Linked DNA regions of Daphnia pulex. The protein of the gene in region 5 binds, or shares a complex with, the protein of the main gene of each other region. Links are inferred from orthologs where the notes say so. Each region holds a gene or a part of one and is shown on either strand. Other genes may lie near its edges.

Region 1 (3,801 bases), on a different chromosome or scaffold from region 5:
GATGGAAGAACGCCCCAGTCCGTCCTTGTTGAAACTTTTCCCCTCGTTTTTTTTTTAGTTTTGATAATGAGTCCAGCAGGTCGAATCCTAAGGTCCTGGCAACAGCAAAGTTCGTTTAGTTTTGTGCTGGTTGCCTTTTAACGGCTCTAGGAAACTTTTTGGCGGACGCCAACAACTCCTACCGCGCTGCTATCGTGTAGAAACTCCATTAACGTGTACCGAATCCAATAGTTGGATGAGCAATTCCCCGGTGATGACTGCAAACGGATGTAAGCTTTTGACCACTTGGTTATTTGCTTTCAAGTCCCCGTACGCTCGCCTGAATGACTTCCCATGTATACAACCTAATCTAGATTTCTTCCGACTAACATTGAAAATGTCCACCACCAACTGTATACGATTACAAGAATTTTTCGGTACCGTAATTAGTAACATTGTCCCCTGGGTCTTGGACTAGTTTTGGGTCACGTTATTAGAATCTTCTCGAAAACTAATTGCAATTCTTGGTAATTTGAACATATATTTTTCTTCTTCTTCTAAATATTCCTGAATCAAAAGGGGGCGACAACAGCTTCTGCAGCGAACAGGGAAAAGATGAGACAAAAAAAGAATTCGGAAAGTTTTGTGTGTTAACAAAAAAAGAGAAACGAAACAAAAGAAGCGAGGGAGGACAAACACGAATGGCTTTTGTTTCTTTGTCCCCAGGTATTTTTTCCTCTCCACCGCTCATCCAACACCCGACATGAAAAAAGAAATTCCGCACATGCACACGCACAGGCACACGAAAAATCCTTAAATTGAAAGCGAAATTCCTCCGGATTGTATTAAATGAAACATTATCTTGATTTTCCCCTAGTAGCGCAATTTCAACCTTGAATATTTTCACCACTCTGCATCACCGTTGGCCTTTTGAAAGACGTAATCGCGACCGTTAATGTTCATGATGCCGTCCTTGAGATGAAACTTCCACCTGTTTCGACTTCTCGTAATCTACAAATAGAAAAAAAAGTCATTTAAAACATTTCAATTCCAATTCGAATGCTAAAATTCAAATCCTTGCCTTGTCGTACTGGCACACGACGACGTTATCAGTTTCAAATAACACTGAGGGATCATCATCAGTCACATCGTCTTCAGAGTTGAGTGGCTCCTCGTCTGCGTTCTCTTCGTTGTCTGCGTCAATCTCCTCGTCGTCATGATCGTCCTCTTCTTCCACGTCGTCATCGTCATCATCTTCAACATCGTCGTCGTCGTCCGAAGAGTCTCCGGGTCCATCCAACTGTGTGACTCCTCCATTGTCAGTTCGCGATTGGCTCCGTGCAGCTGTCGACTACAAAGAAAAGTAATAATGCATTGTACACACATTATTATATACACTTTCGAGTGGATTCAATTTCAACCAATGGTACCTGCAACGCGTTATTAATGTGCTGCTGCAAGACAGTCGTGGCCATTTCAACTGGAAGAGAGAGAGCCGCCGTCACAGCCGGTGAACTCAGGATCGTTTGCAGCTGCGCTCCCGCTGCGCCACCTGTGACATTATTACAAATAGTAAAGAAATTAGATTGGAGCTAGTACGAACGAGATTCAATTGGGAAATAACCTTGAAGAGCATGAGCTGGAACGTGAACAGTGATGCTCTTGGCTGCTGTATGACCTGCTACTCCAGCCTGAGGAGGAACAGTGATTTGGACTGGCACCGTCCTTACTGTTGTCGTAGCAGGGGCTGCAGCTGCTGCTGTTGTTGCTGCACCTGTAGCTGCATTAGGGGTAGTCACTGGGGTTTGGGCTGCTGCTGCTGCTTTAGAGAAAATAAAAACAAACAAACAAAACAATTAATAATAATGCACTCAATGTAACAGTATACCCAACTACCTGGTTGCTTTGCCGTAGTGGCTGCCTGTTGAGGTGTAGAATTGTTCGCAGGAGCTGTAGAGCTAGCCTGCTGACCTGCTTTTGACGGCAAAGAAGACCCTTTTTTCATACATGATAAAGTCTCATAATCGATATTGGATACTTTGTTGCAGTTTGCTTTGGAGAGAAGTTTCAGCAGGATCGGTCACAGGGTCGATTGCTTTGCTGGACTGCAATTTGTTTTCCCAATTCTGCTTCAATTCGAGAAGTACAGCCTCATCGATTCCTTCGTCAAGAAACGCCTCTCGAACCCCGTTGATAACATCTTCAATAACGCCACGATACAGTTTCGACTACAAAAAAAGAAATATAAAAGTCCTTAATTAGACCAACGAGGAGTGAGATCGAGCTCGTGGAGTGGAATCGTCAATGCAACAACAGTTTCCAGGTACTATTCCCCATGAAATATTATCATAAAGTAAAAGGTAAATAAATACCACGAGTGCCTGATTGGCGGCCATTCTTTAACGAAATTGAATTTTATTTGATTTCAATTCCGGGAGGGCTTCGTTCAACAGGAAGCCGACATGAAAACTAAGACTGACGCGGCAATATATATCGAAATGCCCCCGATGGCAGCGCCACGAAGCGTGATTTTGGCTAAGCATAGCATCTAGCGGTCGAAAAAAACATTCTTTCTGCTAAAAGTAAAGCCGTTTGTTATCGTTTCGACACGTTTGAATCGAATGAACAAGAAACGTTTTTATTAGCGGCCTAAGTCTCAGTATTCGTTGATTTTCATCAACGAGATGGATGAAAAATCCGAGATTTTGGTTTTAAACGCCGAAGATGAAGATACCTTCCAAAAGTTGTATTCCGAAGGTCTCAAATATAGCAAGCAATGCTCGGAAGAAAGCATGCCAGTTCCAAAGTTCTATACCAAAGTAAGCATAACTTCCAATTGATTCCCTATAAATTTCTTATGTTTTTGTTACACAGCTTCCTAATCATGAAAACATGATTAGCCTTAAACTGAGAGAAGAAGCTAGAACAGCATTCCTTCAGAAGAAGAGCAAAGAACTCCTCGATAACAATGAACTGCAGGTTTGTTAATGTCATTGCCAGTGTTTGTGCTACTGGTAAATAAGATTTTCATCCTGTCTTTAGAATCTCTGGACTTTACTTGACAAAAATCACAGCCCTCCTGCTGGTTCTGAGCAGATGATCAATTATATTGATTTTCTCAAAGTAGGCAACATAGCTGGTCCAAAATATAAGTAAGACATGTAAATATTTGATTGGGAACACCAAGTTATTTTTTGAATTCCCCTATACAGAGCATTCTTTACACCAGATGTATTTGCAAGGCTATTGCAGAATGATATTCATGGCAGAATATCAACCATGGCAGTGTTCAATTACATCATGAGGAAAGTTTGGTTACAGCAAACTAGAATTGGTCTTTCATTATATGATGCCACAGGACAAGGTCTGCTTACTGAAATGGTGAACATCAGCAATATGTTTTTTGTTTTTGCAATATGTAATTTACTTATCTATTTTTGTTTTTCCCAGGATTTAGAGAACTACATAACTGAACTTATCCCAACATTGCCACAGTTAGAAGGGCTTGAAAAGTCATTCCATTCGTTTTACGTCTGTACCGCCGTACGCAAGTTCCTCTTTTTCCTAGATCCATTAAAGCTAGGCAAAGTCAGGATACAGGATATTCTCGCTTCTGGTTTTCTGGACGAACTTTTAGAGGTATTTAGTATATTCCTGATTCTTTTGTCATTCTTCTCGCTAAAAATATTATAATTCATCAGCTACGGGATGAAGAGCTGCCCAAAGATGCACAGGATTCAAACTGGTTTTCTGCGCCCTCCGCTCTGAGAGTCTACGGTCAATACTTAAATTTAGATACCAACAGAAACGGCATGCTTTGTC
Region 2 (4,124 bases), on a different chromosome or scaffold from region 5:
GACTGTGTCCGCTAGGTGTGGCATCCAATGATCCCAATGTCGCTTCCATTATGGACAACGTCCACGGAGAACGAGCAAGATGTTGACCTACGTATTGTTCGGTTTGTTCGTTGATGAATTCCGTGGCTTTCCTGTACAATGCCGAGAAGATTACAAAAACATTTCTTCCAACATTTTGATCTAATAGAATTACGCGGAAGATAAACTGGAAGCCAGATTTCTCAATAAAACACAAGTGGCTTGGAGTGACGCCGGAGGATCTCCATCTTCCAATGTTTTCAATCCCCAGCGGTGCAATTGCTGGAATATTTCTAGTTCGTCCCTTTGTGCGAAATGAGTCAAAACTTTGAGTACTTCAAGTCGTAATTCCAGTTCGGGTTGTTCGAGCACGGTCATTAGTCGGGATACCACCTGCGCACGAATCTGGGACAACGTCGGTAGAGTTGATAACACAAGAAAAACCGCATTGGCTTTGCCTAAACAACCAACAGATAACCTCTTTCCGTATTTTAATTGGTAAAATTCAAATTACCTGAGACGGCTATATCTAACAGCTTAACCAAGACTTGCTCAAGGAACAAGTTTTCATTCTTCTCTGCGCTTTTGCAAAAGAAATGACCAATCTCTGCAATAACGCTATCGGTGGCTGTTGATTTCTGGAGTAAATCTAAAAGTGTTCCATTGACCTTTTCCAAGTCTTGGTGGTTCAAACAGGTGCCAATTAAATGGCTCAATCCTTGCAGACTTAGATTGCGAAGAACTGCGTCATCCTCTTGTAAGACCTCAAGGTACAGCTCTAACAATTTTGGTATCAGAGAAGCTACACCACTTTGAGCAACTGTAAAATATAACCAAAGATATGAAAATGTTTCTAATTTTAATAATTTTTAAAATGTGGTACCGTTTGCTTCAGTGAAACCATAGAGACCAGCATGTACCATTTTGTTCAAACTATTAAGGATGAACTGACGTGGATTTGACTGTGGCCTGATCCTGTACTGGTCCATCAAAAGGGGAATGACCTATTTAGAGAAATGGGTTTCTGTTAAGTAGATTTTAAAAAAAATGTTTGTAGTTCTATAAGAGAATAAGAATAATACCTGGCTAACAATTAATGCACACGCGGGCGCACTTCCCGAGCATATCGCTAGCAAAATGTAGCTGCTCGGAGTCATTAATCGCCGTTCCGGTTCACACAAGTGCCCCTGACATTCTATTAATATACAATCTACAGTTAAATATACTCTTAAACGAATATTTGCTACACATTTACCGGTCAGCACATTTTTTAGTAATTTGGTAAAAGCTGGACTGTTAAATTCTCCGTCTGTTGTAAAAGCTCGGGATAAAGCGGCAAGAGCATCAAGTGAGGCATGTTCAAGATCGTCGGTATTGACATTGATCAAGACTTCTCTACGTATACTCGTCCAGAAAGAGTCCACCCATTTTTCAAGTTGGCCTGGTTGATACGTCTGACAGCAGAGTTCCTGCAAACAGTCGAAAATTACAATAGAATTGAAGCATAAAGACTAAATATAGAAGGGGAAAATTACCAAGGTTTTTAAGGCTTCTACTTTAGCTGAAACCAAGTCAGATTCCAATTTCTCTTGCAGTAACGGCAAACAATACTCTGCGAAATGAGGGCTACCGGCAAGGCACTGTCGTAATCCATCACAGAGCTGTTCTTTAGTTACTGCATAAGGATCATTAGCTGGCTATTCAAAATAAGAGTATTAGGATTTACTGACATGTAGCAATAAACTGAAAATTTCAAGAGACTTACAGGGGTGAAATCGATAGGGAAGTAGCAACTAAAAACTTCGAAAAACTCTTCTGTAAACGGCTCGAATCTGAAGTAACGAGCAACTACAGGGAAAACACTGAAGAGAATCAACAAGTTACGTGGGTCTCTTTCTTGATCAGCTAACTGGATGAGACCAAAAACAAAATCTTGGCCTAGGTCTTGTAATTCTGTAAGTTTAAAAATAAAATTTAGAAAATACTAACACAGCATATATATTTAGAAATTTATAATTTAGACCTTTTAGATGAAAAGCCAAGAGGTTTTTCACTGTTTTGTAAATTGCTCTTCTGTCATGCTGCAATTGTGATTGACAATGAACATCTTGAAAAATGCTCTGGGATATCAATCTGGCCAATCCAGGGGAAAGCTTAGGTGCTGTGCTCTATGACAAGGTATTAAATTTAACACTTTTGTATTGAATAGTATTTTTTTTCATACCAAAGCATGGAGGCCTTGCAGTGCGGCAGGTAGTATTGAATGATGATCTTTTAGCTTGCTACAGAAGAACTCTGTTACAAGTTCTACTTCCTTTTCATTTAGTCCCTTCAATTCAGGCCCCAACTGTTCCAAGATTGTGCCAATAGTTGACACTGCTTTGCATCGGTGAGTATTTTGTTGATTCAGTAAATCTGGTTGCAAATCTTCAACTAGCTTGAGAATTGTTAATTCTTTTGATGCAATTGCTGAAAAATTAAACAAAGTCATTGATGTTAACTTGTTAAAATTATTAAACATTTTCTACACATATGTTTTAAATCTGGCGCGCTCATGATGGACACGTGTTTTTCCTTCTTTTTTTCTAATTTCGAACACTTGAGCGGAGTACGAAAAAATGTTTCTTTCAGTTATAATTATAAAAACTTACATTGACTAATACAGCGAATAGATTCATTCGCGGATTCTTCTGAATTAAACGAATCTCTGAGTTTGTGAATCGCAGTCGAGATCGCCATGTTTACTGTTTACCTCTGCCCTGATTATGTAAACGTCATCTGCTTTTAAATGACACATGGTTGCCTACCTCTCACATTCTTCTTTTCATGAACTGATTATTCATCGAATATATAATTTTGTCACAGATTATGTAATTGTAAACAAGCAACAGACTTTTGTAACAAATTTCGTAATTAAATATTGAATAACCGCATTCCAACATGTTTTGAAATAGCTTCCGTGAACGGAGGAAAATATCACCCAGGTTTTGTATTTTCTAGATTTTTCATTACGCATTGGAAAAAAAACAGATGGGTGGAGACTTCCAAAGTAAACTTTTATGTGATTCCGATAAATCGTGCTGGTAAGCATGGGAGGACTAGAAAAAGATAATTAATCGCGTCAAGGTCGCACGCGCAACGCATAGAACCAATAGACAGACGTATTTTTGAAGTCAGTTGTAGCCTGAACGTCCCATTATAAACGAGAGTCCCAAAACGTCTGTCGTAGCAGTCTTTTAGTAGACTACGTTACGCGAATTCCACTCACGCACAACAACTCAAATCGGCATTTCTCTTGTCAACCTTGAAATCTCTCTCTTCCACCACTTCCTTTAACGTGGTCCCGACATCTGTTGCCTTGGTGTTCGACAACGACAGCAACTTCTTGAACTGGAGCTCCCACCAACAATATTACAATGGGGCTCGAAAATTTAATTCTTTTGCTAGTACTTAGTATAATTTTTATGCCTGTTATCCTGGTAATTGGTTGCTTGGTGCTAGTGATGACATGCAACTGGTCAAGGAATTTCCGATCAGGATATGTTAAACTACTATTGAAGGTCTTTCAGGTAATATGTCTTATTCTTAGTATTTGAGTTTTCGTAATGCTCATAATCTTTTTTATACTAGTATGGAACTGGTAGGATAGAAATTGCTGAGCAGCAAAAGAAACTAGAGACCAATAAAGGAAAGAATGGCTATGCAAATGGAAATGTTGTGGAAGCAGTGGAACAAGCTGAGGACAAATTATCAACTGGACATGCCATTATAAAATCTTCAGCAATGTCCAAGGAAGATCTAGTACTTTTACCTAATGGAAACTCATCTCCAAAGACACCCTCCATCCCCAAAAACAGATCATTTAACAGTTTGAATAATGATTTTATTCTATCTGACTGCCTTGACTTTGTTCATGCGGGGGTGGAAGCAATCATTGAGGACGAAGTTACAGGAAGATTTGTAGCTGAAGAACTAAAGGTACTCAAATCTCACCTACCAATTTGGTTCACAGTATCTAACATTAAATTTGTACTTCCCAGTCTTGGAATCTTCTTACTCGCACAAACCGCCACTATGAGTTCATCAGTGTTCGCCTTACTATTACT
Region 3 (2,790 bases), on a different chromosome or scaffold from region 5:
GGAAATTGTATTCCAATAGCGAAACCTTCATCCATCGTGCCTGGAATCCTGCCACCGATGCAGGAGACATTGCTCTCATCAAACTCAAAAGCGCCGTCAAATATTCACGTATCATTAATTCGTGTTCTTTAATTTAAAATTATAATTAAATTTAAGATTTTGTACAGAGTACATCCGCCCAGTGTGTCTGTCAATTTCCGGTATCGACGAACCTGATTACGTCAACGAAATGGTTACCGTCACGAGATGGGGTACAACTTACGACGGTATTCCGTTCAACATACGACGACGAGAGAATCCAAAATAAAAGTTAAATGTTTCAAAAATTCAGGTAGTCCACGTATAAGCCCAGTGTTACATAAGATGACGGTCCGGCTCATCTCCAATAACGACTGCAGGACAACTTATGGCGACAACATCCAAGGAGGACATTATGTGCACCAGTGATGGCGCCAACAACATGGGAACTTGCATAGTAAGTGAACGCATAATCATCCTAGTGAATTTACTTTTAAAATGTATGCAAATATGGCAGGGCGATAGTGGCGGATCGATGAATTACAAACAGATGGACGGCAGGTGGAAACAGATCGGGATCATATCGTTCGGTTCGACTGAGGGATGCCAAAAGAAAAGGGTCATCCAAACGGTTACAACAGACTGAGCTCTTATTCTTCATTTCAACGTAGATCCGGGATATTATTGAATCAACTTCCGGCACTCATTGAACATCCGCCTTTTTATCGACACCCCTTATGCTCGTTTCAATCGTATTCGTGATTAGCCTTTCGACGGCGTGGTTCTAACGACTCATTTGAATGCCCTCCCAGGGCTCCCACCTACTAATGTACATTACTATATCGTTTATTCATTTAGTTTGTAATAACAAGTCTCAAAACAAGGTGAATCATTAAACGCAACATTTTCTAATCGAATCCAGAATTTGAAAATCTCAGTCATTTTAACAGTCCGGCAGTTGTAATAATTAGATACCAGCGTAAGCATTTACGTGCGAGCATGTACGACGGCGACATAATCAGCACGCAAATTGCTGTAAAACATTACATCTTTTACAAGTTGGAAAAAAACATTTAACTTCACCGGAAATCCCAAGTAGGATCTCTTGCCCTCGTCCTCCTAACGGCCACCGGTTTACTTTCGCCTCTGATGAGATCGACCCTCTGCAACCGTTCGACAACTTAATATCCCAGCTATTTAATACACATTTGGACTGTCCTACACTGTCGACGAAGCAACGATGTGCTGACATTTTCCATTTTAAATTACTGTTTTCTTATACCCTGTTACAAATGGATGCATTTTAGTATTTTACCATGAATCGTCCATTCGAGATCCAACCATAAAGTATCCACAGTCCACACGTATAGTCGTATACTTTATGAATCGACATTTGAATCAAGAAAGGGACGCAAGGCCACCTGGTGAACGAACGCCGAAGTTGACTCGGCCGACAACTCGACAAAGCGGTGGCGGTTGACTAGGGCACCATCGTCTGCACGCTGTAGCAAATGCAAATCTCTTAAATTTGACTGGAAATCTCGTGGTCTTGTTAACTTACTCAGTTTTCACTTTTCACTGTGATTATCTTACCCTTTAAACAATAATGGCAGACGATGACTTTGAGAACGACGAGTAAGTTAATAGTTAGTTGGAGTTTTTCTTCTTTTCTTAATCACATGTACAACATGTTGAATTTCTGTTATTTAGTGGCGACGATTTTGAAGATGCTGAAGACGATGATAACATGGATGAAATGGAACAGCCAGACGATGATGCACAAATTGATCTACTTCAGCAAGGTGAAGGTGGAGCTGGCCAACTGCAAACCAAGCGCATTACAACACCTTACATGACAAAGTATGTAACACTTGAAAGATGCATAGCTCATGAAAGACTATAAACAAGTCTTACATTTTTAGGTATGAAAGGGCACGGGTGTTAGGGACCAGAGCATTACAAATAGCAATGTGTGCACCAGTCATGGTTGAATTGGAAGGCGAAACAGATCCCCTGCAAATTGCAATGAAAGAATTGAAGCAGAAGAAAATTCCTATAATCATTCGCCGCTATCTTCCTGATGGAAGTTATGAAGATTGGGGAATAGACGAACTTGTAATCAATGACTGAGTCCAACATACAATAATACACTAAGATGTCTTTTTAATTGTACTTTGTAATTCTTTCACCATTTGTCTCCCATTGATGAGAAGTCCCTTGATTGTTTCCTTCAAAATAAAATTCTGTGAAATAAATTCCAAATGAAAACAAACTAATTAATACTTCATTAGTGTGAGATCGGTGTGTTTCAAAGTCACTCCTAGCCCACTTGATGATTTCGTCTTTTTGATGCCTATCTACTTTTCTAGCTGTGCGTAGAACTTGATGAACAAAACACTTGTTTAATAGTTATCAGAACTATGTACCCTAATATTAAGTAATCAATTACCTTCTCTGTATAAATTCAAAACCTCTTGCCTAAGCATGAACTGAGAGAGAATAATTTTTTATCAGAAGCTCTGCAATGTGATATGTTAATGCTATAAATATGGAATTACCTGCTTAAGAGTGAGCACTTTTTTAGGAATTCTTGAAATGGTAGACATAGTTATTTGTGGGTAAATTCAGATTACTAAAACCAGTTGAAAGTGTTTTGATTACTGAAGTGATTTATTCTAGGAGTCTATTATCAATATCATCTCACGATCTATTGACAATATTCATTAATGGTTAATTCTACGATACCCTTCAGAAAAATAACTATTTTTATTT
Region 4 (3,438 bases), on a different chromosome or scaffold from region 5:
TGATGTTGAAATGCTAATTCTTATTCTGTTGTTGTACAGGAACCCTCACATCGCTACCTGAAGTTGCAGATTTCCTGGTGAAATAATTCTGTTTGGTGTATTTTATAGTATCTATATTGACAAATAAACAATTTTTAAAATTACATTCTGGCAAATTGTAACTAGTGAAAATTAAAACAAATTAATTTGTAGATAACTATATTCAGCGTTAAATTGTTGGTTGAATCATGGTTGGATGATGAATCTCATCAAGAGACAGGCTGTTGCTATTCTAATAGATTATGGCTTTTGACTGAGATAATATAATGTTAACTGTAAGTAGGGTACCATGAAAAGCTGTAAATATTAACATGTAACCTTTTACTTGATTCTTGTTTTTACAATCTTACGATTCTGTTTAAAAGGGGTTCCTCGTTAGCACATAAGCCTACTTTTCGCACTGAACTCGCTCATGAAATCATTTCTTCCTGATATGGTTGGGATAAATTATATTGGTAAAATTTTCAAGTTCGCATCGATGTATTGGACCACACACTTGTTAGCACGGGAATTTTTAGACGAAGGGAAAATTGTAGCCTAAGAGAACATTTTATCGAACAATTTCAAGGGCAGTTGAAACCCATTTGAGTTATCTGAAGTTATGTGCATCCAAGAGCTGTTTAGTAGTTTTCTGAAAATCACAGCTTTATTAGAAAGTTAATGGACTGTTTACTTATTAGTCCTTGTCTTCATCTTTGTAGTGGCGGTATTCCGGTTTCAGTTCCCACATGTTTTTGTGAGGATTCTTCAAATTGTATACACAAACATCCTTCAAAATTTCCTTGAGGTAGGTCTATAAAAGCAGAGGGTTTTAAAAGTGCAAATGCTTGTATGAAAACAACTTTTTCTTACCACAGGTTGGTTGGTGAGTTTTACCAAGTCCTTGATGTTGTAGTACTGATGCTTTTCAAAAGCTGCAAACAGCATGTCCATAACTTTGCCCTTATCATCTCTGGCTTTCTTACCCTCAGCTTTCTTCTTTTCGTCGAATTCTTTCTGTAATCAGGAATAAAAGGTTATGATGTACCAAAAATAGACGAGAATTGCTATATTTACATTATGCTTGTGGTCAGAGATGGGTTTGTAACTTTGAACCACTCGATCCAATTGCTTCACAATTCTTGTAGGTTGGGCAGCTTTAATCAAAGAATCCCTTTTGAGTTTCATGTAACTTGCATTTGCTGATGAAAATAAAAATCATTAATGCTCACTTCAAGCTTAGGAACTTTATTTTGTTGGTCTCACCTGTTGGTCTACATTCAAGCTTCTGGGCAACTTTGCCTTCAAATATGATCTTCTCAGTTTCCATAGGTGAGTTCGCGGTGGCTGGAGCTGGGGAAACAATACAAAAATGTCAATATTAAATTAGATTAATTGCAAGCACGCCACTTTAAATATCATGCTTTAAGCTCAGGCCTAAAATAAAAATCTTCCCCATAACTGTCAAGTAGTACGTACTGGTTTGTTGAGAAAATACACCCAATGTTTGTGAAGTAATGTGTGAAACAATCAATCCATGCTCTTTAGGAATAGGTTCCTCTCCTTTTTCCTGGAGACACATAATAGCTTCCGACAGAATAAGTTTGACTTGAGACTTTTGTCCTTGCACCCTGAACAAGAGTTGTAATGAGTTAATAAAGGATTTGTCGATTTGTTAACATAAACCAATTGATGCATACCTAGTAATATTCAGTTGTCCAGCTGTAATATTTCCAGGGCATTTATCCCATCGACTTGAAATGTATTTTGGTACTTTCACCAACCAAACACCCCGACTAGCTGAAGACATTTCCATTTCCCTTTCATAAACGATGACATCTTTGTCTTTCTCCTTGTCTTTCTCTTTTTCTTTCTCCTTTTTCTTTGACTCCATGGTTTTCAGTTTTAAAAATTCTGCTTCAACGTACTAGAAAAACCTATTCAAGAGAATGTAGTTCTAAATATTGGCCGGCTTTAATAAAACAAGTAATCGTTTCTTCTTTCAATCGACAACGTCACACAACTGAAAAGGTCTTCAAGTCTATCGTCTGCTATAAATCGCGCCAGAGCGCGTTCTTTTGTTTTATTAGATAAGTTTACGCAACCATCAGTTCGTCAACGCATTTTTCTTTAATAAAACCCCCCAAAAATCGAAATGGCATGGAAATTTAATGGCCTTAAAAAAAATAACTGATCAAATTTGTTGTTGCACAATCCCTTTAATAAGCTTTTAACAGGAAATAGTTTGATTGGCCAACATTTTTTCATTTAGCTTTTTACTCCTCCTCAAATGTAACCCTGATTGCATATCTCAATGCTCAAATCTCAAATTTGTTTCAGTATGAATTCCCTAATATTATTATTATTATTATTTTCTTGCCTTTCTAGATTTATAGGAATTTGCAAATCAGGACGTCTATCTGTGTAACTTTCAGACGCGGAATAATGTGGTATTTTTCATAACGCCCCGTGAGAAGTGATTCGGAATGTTTGGAATTTTAATAAGTACGAAATCACCGGAATGCCTGGCCAAGTATATAATCGCCCTCTGAAACAAAGCAGAAACTGGGAAACCTCTTTTTGTACTAGTTGGTCTGATTCGATCGGAATATGTATTACCACTTGTAACTGGATTCAAAATCAAACAATTCTACGAAATCGAGAAAGTTATAACAACTAGATTGGTACTTAAGGCGATGTCTTGTGGGGGGACAATGTCCGTCCACTAACTCCTTTTACTATAATTGAGTTCTATCACTAGTACGAATTGCTATACATGTATAACATAGATTTGTCTAAACAAGAGATGGCGAAACGGTAAAAATAAAAAGAGCACAGCAATTTGAAATTCTAAACGGGTTTCCCTTTCTCATGGTGGCCGCTGGTGGCGGAATCAAGAAGCTGACGACCAGGCCAGCACTCCACTCCGTGATCGAATATACAACATACTTGATTGCGCTTTGAAATGGACAGTGCGAGAGAATAGAAACATATATTTTAGTTTGAAAGTTGTATACACTAGTCCAAGATAATTGAAAGAAATTATCTACCGAAGAAAGAACGAATAGGCTATTTTAAATTTGATCATTTTACACTGGTGAGTATAAGCTATAGTGAGTCTAAATATTCTTGTCGAATGCAAACGAACAGAGAATAAAAGTCATAACCCAAGTTGCGGTTATCGCACTTTAAACTGCAATTTGTATTCCAATTAGTACATTCAAGGTGATTAAGAAAATGTGTGAATTAAATATTAGGCTATTAATTCGGTTATTGCGATTTATTAAAAGATATTTCATATTCAACCTATGATTCTTTCATTGTTATTTATTTCATAATAAAATCAAAGAGTAAGAAAACATTTTATGAGCTTTTATGAAAGTAAAGTTGTGCAGCCAACAATCTCAAGTATGCCATCGC
Region 5 (4,064 bases):
AACATTAACACGGCGCTACATGAATCGGTAAAAGAAATGGTCAATATAGTCAGAATCTTTTGTTTTCCTATTATTTTTCATACCGTCCAAGATGGTGGTCAAAATCAATTCCTTCAGAGACTTTACCCCGTGCGACTGAAAGTAGTACAGCTCCTCGTCCATTATCACAAGCCTTCACTCGATTAAACAGATCGATTCAGATTAAACGAAAATCTTTAGACTAGAGGAATTAATTACTTTTAGAAACGAAACGTACTTTGATGTAGTTAATCAGCGCCAAACTCGTTTCTGCTGCGTCTTGGGTTTCGATAAAGAGGAGCTTGTGTCTTTGCAATTGATCGATAATGCCCTGATCGTACCAAGACGACACAATTGTTTCCAGGTATAGGTAGCTGGTGAAGAAGCAAACAATCCCATCGGGTACAGCGGCCGCTACTTCAACCAACAAATTTCCGTAGTTGCGAATAACGGCGGTGTCCTCACGAGTTTCGTATCGCGATGACATGGCGACCTGGTCGTTACCTTTCGATACGATCTATACTTAAAATAAGAATTTTAGTGTTACGTTAACATTTATGAAAAATGAGGCATCTACTACCATTGGCAGAATACAGGGTCTCGCCAAAGTCATAGTAAATGAGGTCATTATGACTGGATGGAAGTCGAGGATTTTCGGATACATATCAAGCGGTGAAAGGGTTCCTGAGGTGATGACGACAGTTTGGAAACGATTGAAAACTGGTTTGATGGCAATAGATGAATCTAAACAGCTGTAAAATGTACTAGCATTAATCACTGTTGGTCTTTGCGTGTTCTATATTCACATACCTGAAATATAAAATTGGGTTGGAAACTGTAGGTGCCCGATCTTCAAACGGTTCAATGATGATGGTGAATCTAAAATAGTAAATTACTTTTAGATATTTTTTCACCATTTTATCACTGTAAATAAAGATATTAACCCTTTAGTATATGTCGAGACCAATGTAGCAAAGTGAGAAACGGTTACAAGAGGTGAGAAATCCGTCAGGTCGGATATTTCAAGAGTGCGAATGAGTGAAGATAAACGCTCTGCGGTGAATCTGGAAAGTTTATCAACAAAATAGGTAAAATAATAATTTGTGCGTGTGAAACTGTATTTTTATATACCTTAGAGGTTTCCTATCGATACACACTTTAATGTGAATATCTCTCAAGAAACCGGCGGGACTCTCTTGAACGACGTGCTGGACGCGGAGTCGAGTTTTGATGTACTCTACTACTCGCTTCAAAAAGGCCACGAAGTGCTCAGCAGTACGGATCGTTCCAGGGACGGCCTCTATAAATGAAAGAAATGTTAAAATGGCCCGAACGGATACTTGTGAATAAATACAGACCTTCTAAAATTTCAGAAGGTAAAACCGGGTTAACTAAAGCCATGTCAGTTTCTCTCGCTATGTTAGCATCTCGCAATCCTTCAACTAGCCTTTGGTATTCCTTCTCCAACCTTCTGTTGTCATTTTCTTTCATGCTAAAGAGTTAAAAAAGTTAACAACTCTGAAATTAATCATGCACATCCAGTTGTGATTACTTTGAAATGGTGGTTTCCAGAATTTGAATGCTATTGGAGCATTTATCCAGCAGACGTTTCGTTATCTTGACGCTCATCGAATCTATACAGACATTATCTAGAAAAACCAATATTTAATTAGTAGGGCAATTTTAAGAGGTTACGTTTCAGTAAAATTACCAATATTGTGGGCTTCATCAAAGACAACGACGCTAGTTTTTGAAATTTCCTTGGAAACGACTTCTGCAATCTTGGGATCAAGTAAGTAATGATAGCTGTACACCACAATGTTGGCGTGAGTTATCTATAATTTAAATTTGGTATTAATTTGGTTGTACAATATTTTATAAATGTCATGATCTAACGGTGTATCGGGCAAGAAAATAAGGACACCATCCTTTGGCCTGTCCATATTCCTTTAAATCGTCCAGGTTGTACACCCCAGGAGGCAGCGGAAATTCTTTTCCATGAGCATCGAATCCTTCATAAAAGTTGCATACTGGCACAGCGTCATCACCTGCATGACGAGCTCTTACAAACGATGCCGTGAGACCGTAACAGCGCCCGTCGACTACTTTTCCTTCTCTCTCCTTACTGACCTGTTATGTAATTGTGTTGTTGATTAACCATACTTTTAAATCTTTTTACTATTTAATTCATATTACTGAGGGGTGAATGCAGAGATTCTTTCTGGAGCTAAGTGCCAAGCCAAGAATGTTTTGTTCCATGCCCATCTCTTTTTCGTAGTAATTCATTAATTTTCGCAATTCTTCCATAACCTTTTCAATTTCAGGAACAGTTCTTGAACAGTAGACTAGTTTGGTTAAATCAAGGGGGTGAGCCTTCATGTAGGCCACAATTAATGATAGCAATGTTGTTGTCTTCCCCGTTCCAGAAGGCATTTCCAATAAACAGTGACCCTGAATTGATCCAACATCAACAGATATTTATGTAATTTCAAGTTATACTAGTATTGGACGATACAACATACTTTTGCATCGAGAGCATGTTTCAGTTCGAGCATGTATGAAAACTGCTCCGGGTATATGTAATCGTAAGGGAAGTAGACGAGGAGTCCATCAACATTTAATCTATGAACATGTAAATAAATTAAATGTGGTCTCTGAATTGACAAAAGTGCGGGATTTACTTCATTTTTGTACGAGAAAGTTTACAACAACATGCACATAAAGTTGCTTGCCACTTGTTCTTCTTCAAATTTCTAGCAGACTAATTTTCCTTTTCACGTGTCGATAATGGTTACCAATAGATGGCGCGTAGTCAAGGCAACCAATTTGTTGTTTAAAAATATTTGTTGCGATTAGTTTTTTTAAACGATCTCATGGAAAGATATATTGTGAACGGCAGGATTGGGGAAGGGGCACACGGGATCGTTCTTAAAGGTATTGACAAGTCCACAATGAAACTGGTCGCCATGAAACGGATAGCGTTGAAGAACATTAACGAGCAGGGATTGCCGAACTCGGCTGTTCGTGAATTGCTGGCTCTTCGCCTGATCCGCCATGAATATGTAGTGAACCTAGTGGACTATTTCCCACAAGGATATTCGCTTGTGTTGGTCTTTGAATATTTACCAATAGATCTCTACGAATTTTTGCGCTCCAACTCCAAACCTTTGCCGACGAGTCACGTGAAAAGCTGTACCATATTTACATCTCTACAATCAGATTTTAGGCATTCAAATAACCAATATGCAATCCTTTCCATTTAGACATGTGGATGCTAGCCAGCGCTGTGGAATATATTCATAGTTTGGGTATTATGCATCGGGATTTGAAGCCGGCCAATTTGCTGATTGGTTCCCGAGGCGAACTGAAAGTGACCGATTTCGGATTGTGTCGTACGTTCAATCATTCCGAAAAGGCTCAAAGATTATTCACACATCAGGTGGCTTCGCGGTGGTACAGAGCACCGGAACTGCTCTATGGTTCTCGCAACTATGGCAAGTTTCATTTTAATTTAAAAATGCCATGTTAATTCTAACACCTTTTTCACAACAGGACCGGAAGTCGACCTATGGGCTATGGGCTGTATCTTTGGTGAAATGTTGAAGAATTCTCCCCTTTTTCCGGTAAATAATGGCCAATGTTGTCAATATAATATGTTGTAACAGTATCCGGATTTCCATCAAACCCTAGGGAGAAAATGACATTGGCCAACTGTGCACAGTCATTCAAGGTCATTAACAATACGGTAATCATAATCAAGGTGAATGGCATTAACTCTTTTGTGGGTAATTACATAGTACTAGGCACTCCAGACGAAGAAAATTGGCCAGGTGTATCAGCATTGCCAGATTTCCACAAAATTTCATTTACCAAAACTCGGAAACAAATCTCCTTTAAGAAAATCCTGATTGATGTAGACGAATCATCACGAACGATGCTGGAACAATTTCTTCGCTATTGCCCCCAATCACGAATAACAGCTAAACAGGTCATTTCTAATCTTCTATCTTTTAAAAATTTAAATCTAATTAAAACTTTGCATTGAC

The links. Proteins that work in one complex are often made in the same cells at the same time.
Region 1: general transcription and DNA repair factor IIH helicase subunit XPD-like (region 5) and transcription initiation factor IIA subunit 1-like share a complex: the UniProt entries of both Homo sapiens proteins name them as parts of the TBP-based Pol II pre-initiation complex. The link is inferred for Daphnia pulex from reciprocal best matches to the Homo sapiens genes ERCC2 and GTF2A1.
Region 2: general transcription and DNA repair factor IIH helicase subunit XPD-like (region 5) and MMS19 nucleotide excision repair protein homolog share a complex: the UniProt entries of both Homo sapiens proteins name them as parts of the MMXD complex. The link is inferred for Daphnia pulex from reciprocal best matches to the Homo sapiens genes ERCC2 and MMS19.
Region 3: general transcription and DNA repair factor IIH helicase subunit XPD-like (region 5) and DNA-directed RNA polymerases I, II, and III subunit RPABC2-like share a complex: the UniProt entries of both Homo sapiens proteins name them as parts of the TBP-based Pol II pre-initiation complex. The link is inferred for Daphnia pulex from reciprocal best matches to the Homo sapiens genes ERCC2 and POLR2F.
Region 4: general transcription and DNA repair factor IIH helicase subunit XPD-like (region 5) and general transcription factor IIF subunit 2-like share a complex: the UniProt entries of both Homo sapiens proteins name them as parts of the TBP-based Pol II pre-initiation complex. The link is inferred for Daphnia pulex from reciprocal best matches to the Homo sapiens genes ERCC2 and GTF2F2.

The regions. Positions count from the first base shown.
Region 1 is NC_060018.1:12,590,387-12,594,187, reverse strand, and holds transcription initiation factor IIA subunit 1-like, read right to left. Parts: upstream 2,499-3,801; 5' UTR 2,376-2,498; coding exon 2,352-2,375; intron 2,208-2,351; coding exon 2,018-2,207; intron 1,975-2,017; coding exon 1,876-1,974; intron 1,805-1,875; coding exon 1,604-1,804; intron 1,532-1,603; coding exon 1,410-1,531; intron 1,331-1,409; coding exon 1,061-1,330; intron 991-1,060; coding exon 883-990; 3' UTR 501-882; downstream 1-500. Other genes in the region: serine/threonine-protein phosphatase 2A regulatory subunit B'' subunit gamma-like, read left to right, coding at 2,664-2,798, 2,854-2,958, 3,022-3,131, 3,192-3,360, 3,430-3,618, 3,681-3,801. UniProt on the Homo sapiens protein: TFIIA is a component of the transcription machinery of RNA polymerase II and plays an important role in transcriptional activation. TFIIA in a complex with TBP mediates transcriptional activity.
Region 2 is NC_060026.1:4,198,383-4,202,506, reverse strand, and holds the start of MMS19 nucleotide excision repair protein homolog, read right to left. Parts: upstream 2,801-4,124; 5' UTR 2,758-2,800; coding exon 2,670-2,757; intron 2,488-2,669; coding exon 2,243-2,487; intron 2,187-2,242; coding exon 2,042-2,186; intron 1,972-2,041; coding exon 1,784-1,971; intron 1,716-1,783; coding exon 1,554-1,715; intron 1,488-1,553; coding exon 1,274-1,487; intron 1,214-1,273; coding exon 1,101-1,213; intron 1,023-1,100; coding exon 902-1,022; intron 839-901; coding exon 533-838; intron 477-532; coding exon 194-476; intron 132-193; coding exon 1-131. Other genes in the region: glycerol-3-phosphate acyltransferase 3-like, read left to right, coding at 3,435-3,587, 3,649-3,996, 4,059-4,124. UniProt on the Homo sapiens protein: Key component of the cytosolic iron-sulfur protein assembly (CIA) complex, a multiprotein complex that mediates the incorporation of iron-sulfur cluster into apoproteins specifically involved in DNA metabolism and genomic integrity.
Region 3 is NC_060023.1:6,841,136-6,843,925, forward strand, and holds DNA-directed RNA polymerases I, II, and III subunit RPABC2-like, read left to right. Parts: upstream 1-1,466; 5' UTR 1,467-1,624; coding exon 1,625-1,653; intron 1,654-1,728; coding exon 1,729-1,878; intron 1,879-1,940; coding exon 1,941-2,148; 3' UTR 2,149-2,168; coding exon of another isoform or gene 2,169-2,246; 3' UTR 2,247-2,290; downstream 2,291-2,790. Other genes in the region: chymotrypsin BII-like, read left to right, coding at 1-108, 168-266, 332-447; LYR motif-containing protein 2-like, read right to left, coding at 2,169-2,246, 2,302-2,399, 2,468-2,507, 2,577-2,624. UniProt on the Homo sapiens protein: DNA-dependent RNA polymerase catalyzes the transcription of DNA into RNA using the four ribonucleoside triphosphates as substrates.
Region 4 is NC_060025.1:406,047-409,484, reverse strand, and holds general transcription factor IIF subunit 2-like, read right to left. Parts: upstream 2,067-3,438; 5' UTR 1,913-2,066; coding exon 1,719-1,912; intron 1,650-1,718; coding exon 1,498-1,649; intron 1,372-1,497; coding exon 1,285-1,371; intron 1,221-1,284; coding exon 1,096-1,220; intron 1,036-1,095; coding exon 892-1,035; intron 833-891; coding exon 716-832; 3' UTR 501-715; downstream 1-500. UniProt on the Homo sapiens protein: TFIIF is a general transcription initiation factor that binds to RNA polymerase II and helps to recruit it to the initiation complex in collaboration with TFIIB.
Region 5 is NC_060017.1:8,164,235-8,168,298, reverse strand, and holds the start of general transcription and DNA repair factor IIH helicase subunit XPD-like, read right to left. Parts: upstream 2,801-4,064; 5' UTR 2,705-2,800; coding exon 2,700-2,704; intron 2,641-2,699; coding exon 2,541-2,640; intron 2,470-2,540; coding exon 2,215-2,469; intron 2,149-2,214; coding exon 1,915-2,148; intron 1,854-1,914; coding exon 1,730-1,853; intron 1,668-1,729; coding exon 1,571-1,667; intron 1,511-1,570; coding exon 1,377-1,510; intron 1,319-1,376; coding exon 1,150-1,318; intron 1,083-1,149; coding exon 963-1,082; intron 898-962; coding exon 829-897; intron 771-828; coding exon 599-770; intron 536-598; coding exon 257-535; intron 173-256; coding exon 84-172; intron 16-83; coding exon 1-15. Other genes in the region: cyclin-dependent kinase 20-like, read left to right, coding at 2,892-3,210, 3,282-3,512, 3,571-3,641, 3,709-3,748, 3,816-4,006. UniProt on the Homo sapiens protein: ATP-dependent 5'-3' DNA helicase. Component of the general transcription and DNA repair factor IIH (TFIIH) core complex, not absolutely essential for minimal transcription in vitro.